2 linked regions of the Oryzias latipes genome follow. The protein of the gene in region 1 purifies or fractionates together with the protein of each later gene. This does not show direct contact. Links are inferred from orthologs where the notes say so. Each region holds a gene or a part of one and is shown in the gene's direction. Other genes may lie near its edges.

Region 1 (4,045 bases):
TGAACTGAAACTGAGATGTAATGTTTAGCCTTTTTGTATGGTAACAAACTTAAGTTATGCTTAAACGCAGATTCTGTAAAAACCAAATCTTGATATTACAAACACATGAAAAAAAATAATTTGAAATAAAAGACACATCGGTGGTATTCTTTAAATACTATAATATATAATATATAATATAATAAATAAATAAGGCATGTCTCTCCCCGTATCCTTTCAAGTTCTTTTTTAAAGTAAACCTTTTGCAATGTCAACAACAAAAGAACCAAAAATAATGTCATCCAGTAAAATCCAGCATTTCAACTACCGTATTAACAGACCACCATGCCTTTCAGTAGAAAAAGGGCATAAGAAACAGATATAATCAAGCTCAGTTTGCTACACTATGATTTTCTCTGCACATTGGTCTAAGCCAGATGCCTGGCATCTTTTCTTAGATGCAAGTTAATTAATGTCTGGGGTTAGACTCTGAGCCGAGGAAAACCTTCGTATTTTAGCAGCAATGTCTTGAAAGCTCCTGTTGTCCATCTTTTGTTTGGCCATTTTTGTGGAGGGTGAAATTAATTTGTCTGATGTGACTGGAGCGCGGCTGTCAATGACTGTCAACAGTCATGCCAACATACTAGCAAAGCATTGTGGGATGTGTAGTATTAACGGTACAGAATATACCGCGTGCCAGCTCCAATGTACGTTTGATATGATCTCACGGGCCAATTATAATTACACTGCGGGCCAAATTTGACCCTCGGGCCTGAGTTGGACACATGTGACCTGGACCATGGTATAAAGAATGTGGAAGTCTTTTTAACTCAATGTTCTTTTGGCATGTCTGTTGTTCTGAGTATGTAATGTAGAATTAAACACGGATTTATGATTTGTGTATTCCTTTTATTTAGTTTTATGATGCTTTCTATATGTTTTTAGGTTTTAATGTTGTTGACATTTGGACCTAGAGTCTATAATAAGAATTCTATTCTATTCTATTCTATTCTAATTCTATTCTATTCTATTCTATTGAAATCAGAGCTGGTGCAGTGAAACTCCAAACTTTCCCCAGATCATTGGCTGTAAATGTGAAGCTGCTGAAAACAATGTTTGTTTTCATTTAAGGTCATCTCTTTACGCGCGGGAGGGGGGGGCGCAGACGCCGCCGTTGACCAGCCCCCCCCCCCCCCCCCCCCCACTTCCCCGCCCCCACGGCTCCTCAGACAGGCAGATGCTCCTGTCAATCATCCGGAGGGAGGAGGGCGCTGAGGCACATCCCTGCGCGTGAGTGGGCTCCAGGCTCTCACATCTGGATGTTCCTCCGGTTCACGCCCACAGCGGCTCCCCCCCTCCCCCGCAGCTGCTGCTCCTTTCCCGGAGATCTGCTCCCATCAGGCCCCGCGTCGTGTCTTTCTGTCGGCCGTCCGTCCTGGACGGGCTCTGCTGTCGGTGGCGCAGCCGTCCATGAGTGTCGAATGCGCCGTCACTCCGGCACAGCGCTTCAGCACGAAGATGGCGTCGGAGGGAGTCGGTGGAGAGCAGCCTCCCCCGGTGCAAACACTGGCAGCCGCCGTGCCGGGAAGCCTGGACGCGGTAAGACACGACCCGAGCGGCGGGCATGTTTGGTTCGGTTCGGTTCGGTGTGGGAGCGTTTTTTTCTGCAGAAACAACCAGCGCCGCGCTGCTGACTGGATCCAGAGATCCCAGCCAGGCCGGAGAGGGTTCGATGCCGCCGCCGTCGGGTCCTTTCATCCGCTGTTTTCGCTCTCGTGCAGCGGCGGGACGCGCAGGAACGCCGCGCGGAGCAGAGCGCGAGGATGAGGAGGAGTTCAGGAGGGTTCAAAGAAACACGCCGAAAGGGAGGCAGTCCACGAGGTGGAAAGACTCCATCCATTATCTGAACGTCCTGCAGGCAGCCTGGCTTCTAGAGGTGGAGTTTGGTCTGACCTGAGGCGAGGGTTTAGTTGTGGTTGATCTTCATCGTTTGGGGAGGATCATTTCTCAGGTTTGCTTTGGTGGTCTTGGCTGAGGCTTCACGCCTTTGAGTACAAACTGTTGCCTTAGTGAGGAGTCCTGCAGCCTTCTGCTTTAGCAGCTCAAAAACCAATGAGTCACTCCATCAGATGTGTTCATGGTCGATCCATAAGCATCCATCTTTAGTGTAACACAAACTGGGATTCTTTAAAAGTTTATATCTTTACCAGTAATACCAGACATAAATAGCATATATTCCACTTGGTAATAGTTATCTTTATTGCTAAGCATTGTTCAGAACTGCTTATACTTTCATTTTGTTTATTTAGTAGTCCTGAAGGAAAAATAATCAACTGATTTCCAGTTTGATTTTTTTTTTATTGTGAGAAATAAATGGTAATTGGCGTATACTTGTATAGCCCTTTACAAACTTCTTCAAAGGCCCAAAGGGCTTTACAGTCACAGTCCCATTCACACATAGATGGCAAGGCTGGAATCGAACCTGCAGTATTCCAATCAGAAGTCAGCTGCTCTACCGCTGCTACACAGCCACCTGCCTGAAATAAGCCTTACCATTTTTAAAATCCGTGATGGAATTATAAAAGCAATATTTTGATGGTACTTTCACACCATACTTTGTATCCTGATAGTTCTTGGATGCGTTAAAGCTCTTCTGAACTCTGGTACAGACCAAGCAAGTTTACTCCTGTTAGCTGAAACGGGTGATCTCTGTTCTCCTGCTTCTAAACGCCGGTGTGGTTCAGTGCAGAAGACAGTTACAGCAGACCCAAAGAGCAGTAATCAATCAAAGAAGGTCTATGTAAGGCCTTTGTCACATGTACAGGGTTTTGTGGGTTTTTGGGATGTTCGGGCCTTTGGAGGGTCGTACAGAAAACTGGCCGCATCTTAAGCGCTTTGAGCGTCTGGAAAAGCGCAGAAAAATCTAATCCATTATTATTATTATTAAGCAGAATGCAGATGTTCCTTTCAGTTCAGTTGTGTGGCCACTTCCAGGTGGTATCATGAAAATGTTACATACTATGGTCGTGTTTGTTAAGTAGTCATTTGTAAGGTGCGCACTGGACCTTATACTAACCGTGCGCAAATGCCGCAGTGCTCAGGGTTTGAAAAAATGAAAAATCCTTCTGAGACACCTGCATCTTACCTACTTCACCCTTCCTTTCCCTTGTGTGTTGTCTAAGTGTTTACTATGACCTGTCGCCCGTAGCATCGTTGCAGAAAGAAACGTGGATGAATATTTTTGCTCAGATGTTGCTATTTCGTTTGGGTTATCTCCGTGCTCTGTACAGGTTAGCCCATTTCTCACCCGCAGACAGACTGTAAGGGCAGTTATGACTAGGGCATTAGTCAGTGTCGGACAGAAGTGTAGGGGCAAGATCAAAGAAAGCAGTCCATAGTCTTCTCTGTGCTTTTCTTCTGCTTGTGTGTCTCAGGTAATACTGCCCCCTACTGAGCAGTAGATGTGACCGTCTTTTACACTTTTCTGTAGTCCTTGTTTAGCTCCAGAGAGTGCAGTATGAAAACAGACCAAACATTATGAAGGTGGATCACTTTTCATCCCAATCTAATTGAATGTTCCAAGACTGTCCTAATGACTTTAAAAAAGCCCCTGGAGAACCTGATGCACCTGTATTTCAATACAGAGATATTTTAGGATGGCGAGTAAACATTTTTTTGTGCCACAGAAAAATGTTCATGGAAAGAAGTTCATAATCTTTGGGCCATTGATGTCTTGTGTTTTTAGAATGAATTGTACCAGAGCTTAATAAACCCCAGAGACACTGCTGGTGGTTGGGGGCCAGTCCATTACAAAGCATTGTTTAGGTGGAGGGCCAGCGGACCGTCTAGAATGCAGAGAGACGACCATTCATGAATTTAAAAGCAAAAATAGGATTGTGATTGGTTGAGAAGAAAGGCAGGCAATTTAACTAATGGTTTGAGGCAGGGGTGTCAAACATGCGGGCCGCATCCGGCCCGAGGTGGTTAAGTCCGGCCCACACATGAAGAGTAAAAATCATAAGGATGTTTAAAAAAGAAAGCAAGTTTCTAGTTCATTCCTGTGGCG
Region 2 (3,517 bases), on another chromosome or scaffold:
TCGCTGAGTCGTGAATATTTTTACACATAGTGGGGTGTGGTAAAAAAAAGTAATGTACTTCAGAAAAATTGCAGCAGAATGTTTTATATTAAGTATATAAAGTAAACAAACGAAATGCGCTACTGTCACCGGAAGTTGATGGATTTCCAAAGTAAAGTGTCAGTGAACGTCCTCATTTTTCAAAGTAAAACTATCGAGTTTTTTTCGTAAATAAAAAAAAAAAAGACTACAGTTCAGTTTACTGACATAGGTTCTGAAAAACGGATTTTGGTTAATCATAGTCAACAATTAAAAAATACAAAATGAAAAATATTTCTAATGAGACTTTCTGCTAGCATGAACGTGTCTGCAAAATCTAAAATGTTGGAGTTTTTTGGTTTTTCTTCTAAAAATAGAAAGTCAGCTTATAAAACAGGTCTGTTGGAAAGACTGTTGTAGTTTAGATGAAAGGACAGTCGATGTTTCCTACTTGTTGCCTTTTTATTGAGGTGTTGCTGCGTCTTCATTTACTTTCTTCTTAGCATCGACCCACTTGAACTCCAGTCGGTAAAAGTTTGAGGATGGAAAAACATTTTCCGTTTTTTTTTTTGTTAAACGATCCAAAACATTTACGTTTGTTTTGTTTACTGCTGAAGTTAACCAGGAAGTTGACAGAAAAAGCTATGAGTGTGACGTTATTTAAAGTGGTCAATATCATTTCTTTCTTTCTTTCTTTCCAAATCTTTGTTTTTATACGTTAAGTTGATTCTGATCTCCTGTTCTAAGCAAAGGATGATTAAATACACATTATTTTCATTCATCGCGTTCAAAAGACAAGCGGTGCGTTTGTGTGTAGCCACATGCTGCCATATGGTCGGTGTGTAACTGTAATGGATCTGCAGAGTTGACGTTCTAGCAGTAACCGAGCGTCCTGTGACTCAGCACCATACTGTCTGTCTGTGTGTGTGTGGGTGTGTGTGTCTGTCGGTGTGTGTGGTGAGGGTTTGTGAAGGGTGCCACCGCTACACAACTGTCAGAGTTGAGAAGACTCATTGTTCTGGACTCTTAGGCGTTGATGAAACCTTTTCAGAGTTGCTTCCTCTAGGGTTGTGTGTTGGCAAGACTCTGGGGATTTCCTGCTTTTCTTGGAATCATTTATGAAATATTTGATCAACACGGATTTAAAGGCGCATCGTCAACGAATGGTCTGTTTTCAAACATACGGCACATTGGACTATACGGCACATTAACCGAGACCAGAGTCAGGCATGAATCTGCCAGTCAGTCAGACTGATGTTTACAGGAACTCTAGAACATGTTTGTAACACGCTACAGGTATAACAAACACGTAGCCAGGTTAGAAGCGCTAGCTGGGTCAGGGTATTCACAACGACTGTAACTTCTAAGCTCGTTAGGAGAATCTGCTAAAATAAACGTTACTGTGACTTAGGGCTGTGACGATAACCGCATCACTGCACGTTTTTTTAATTTGAAAGTTCTGCATATGGCGCGTGATTTGAACTATAATAAACACATTAAACACATTCATCTTTGCTGATAATTTACTTTTTCTGCTAGTCCTGTGTGTAGAAAAAGTCTTCATCCTCCACTGCAAGGGAGGGCGGGGCAGCCCATTATACATATTATGGGGGTCCTGACACCATGACTCTTGCTGCTTCATCACAGCGGTGGTAAAAAATCCCACACCGTCACAGCACTACTGTGACTACGCTAACCCCCTAACTTTGTTAGTAACACGCGGTCCAAAACTGCTACGGGTTGGCTGCGTCAGAAGCGTTAGCGTAGTCACAAGGCCTGTAACTCCTAACCTCATTTGCAACACGTAAGAAACAATACTTCTAAAATAAAGTTTGTTTCTCTGACTATGCTAGTTGTTCGTAACAGTCTAAGGCCGAAACAAACTGTGACCACGCTAACCCCAAACCTTGTATAAAAACACTTTTAAAAAAGCATAGCATAGAGTTAGCAGGTTCACAATATCTGTAACTCCTAACCTTGTTTGCAATGCATAAAAAACGATGGATACCGCTAAAACATAATTGTGACTACGCTATCTCCCAAACTTTTTAGTAAAGTTTAAAAACAAAAAATTCAATTCCGACAACCCGATATGTTCGCTAGGCTAGCATGCTAGCATGAGATGGTTCTGGTGCTGAGCTGCTGAAAGAGTCTTGGTGTGCTGAGCTGCCATCTCTTGATTGGGGGTGTAAGTGGAAAAGTCGGACACTGAACTACATTTTGGCGTATAAATAGCTAGTTAAAAATGTTTAAAATCCATACAGGTCTTGCCATTTTTAAAAATCTGATCCAATATAATCTGACTGACTGACAGACTCATGTCTGATCAACACACATTTAAAGTCGCATCGTCAGCGAATGGTCGGTTTTCAAACTGATGATGATGTTTTCTGCTCCTGTGTGTCTCTACAGGCAGACATTTGGTCTTTGGGCATCACGGCCATCGAGCTCGCCAAAGGGGAACCGCCAAACTCAGACATGCATCCCATGCGCGTCCTCTTCCACATCCCCAAGTCTCCTCCTCCCACGCTGAGCGGAGACTTCTCCAAGAGCTTCAAAGAGTTCACCGAGGCGTGCCTCAACAAAGACCCGGCCTTTGTACGCATCCAAGTTACTTTCAATCAAATAGATGATTTTTCCATCCTAAGGAGGTCAAATCGTGCTTTTGTCTTGATACAAATTTATATCTGTACGTCTTCTAAAGTCATATCCAGCTTTTTGTTGTGATAAAAAAGATTTTTAGGTGTTTTGAAGTTTTTAAAGTAACTATAAGAACAACTTAATCATTTATTATTAAAGAAAAAACAGAAATAGTTTTGTTTCATGTGGAGCTTTGGTACCAAATGGAACATTTTGAAACTTTATTTTTAGTTACTTTGCACTCCTGTAAACGTAAGGCCGCTCCATGAAAGTTTTGTTGTGTTTTGCTGCCACCTAGTGGAAGAAATTATTAAATCTCCTTAATTTGATCAATAAACCTGAGGCCAAACATTTAATCATTTTATATTTTTTTGCCTCTTACTTTGAAAAAATCTCATTTCCTCTTTTTTTTTTTTTTTTTAATTCCCCTCCTTTGGCTTCACTCTACGGTCCTGCAGCGGCCGACCGCCAAAGAGCTGCTGAAGCACAAGTTCATCACCAAGCACTGTAAAAAGACGTCTTACCTGAGCGAGCTGATCGACAGGTACAGGAGGTGGAAGGAGGAAGGTCACAGCGGCAGCAGCTCCGACGACTCAGACAGGTGACTTCAGGGCTTTCTTCTGCTGCTGCTGCATGTCGGTTCAGCGCCTACAACTGTTTGTTTGTGTGAGCAGTGAGTCCAGCAACAAAGAAAACGACATGCATCCTGAGTGGTCCTTCACCACCGTCCGGAAGAAGAAGACAGAAGGCAGGATGGTCCTCAACGGGACGGTTAGTCGCAGTATCTGGTTCCTCGGGAACCTTCATCCTGATCCTCCGATGGTTTTAGGGCATTCGGGTTGAAGCAGAAATGTTCTTT

Evidence for each region. Proteins that work in one complex are often made in the same cells at the same time.
Region 2: the proteins of cttnbp2 (region 1) and stk26 purify together in Homo sapiens (affinity purification with mass spectrometry; 4 studies listed by BioGRID and IntAct, with this or other methods). This does not show direct contact. The link is inferred for Oryzias latipes from reciprocal best matches to the Homo sapiens genes CTTNBP2 and STK26.

The regions. Positions count from the first base shown.
Region 1 is NC_019864.2:3,451,371-3,455,415, reverse strand, and holds the start of cttnbp2 (cortactin-binding protein 2), read left to right. Parts: upstream 1-1,244; 5' UTR 1,245-1,449; coding exon 1,450-1,578; intron 1,579-4,045. UniProt on the Homo sapiens protein: Regulates the dendritic spine distribution of CTTN/cortactin in hippocampal neurons, and thus controls dendritic spinogenesis and dendritic spine maintenance.
Region 2 is NC_019876.2:4,690,933-4,694,449, reverse strand, and holds part of stk26 (serine/threonine-protein kinase 26), read left to right. Parts: intron 1-2,430; coding exon 2,431-2,616; intron 2,617-3,116; coding exon 3,117-3,259; intron 3,260-3,332; coding exon 3,333-3,429; intron 3,430-3,517. UniProt on the Homo sapiens protein: Serine/threonine-protein kinase that acts as a mediator of cell growth. Modulates apoptosis. In association with STK24 negatively regulates Golgi reorientation in polarized cell migration upon RHO activation.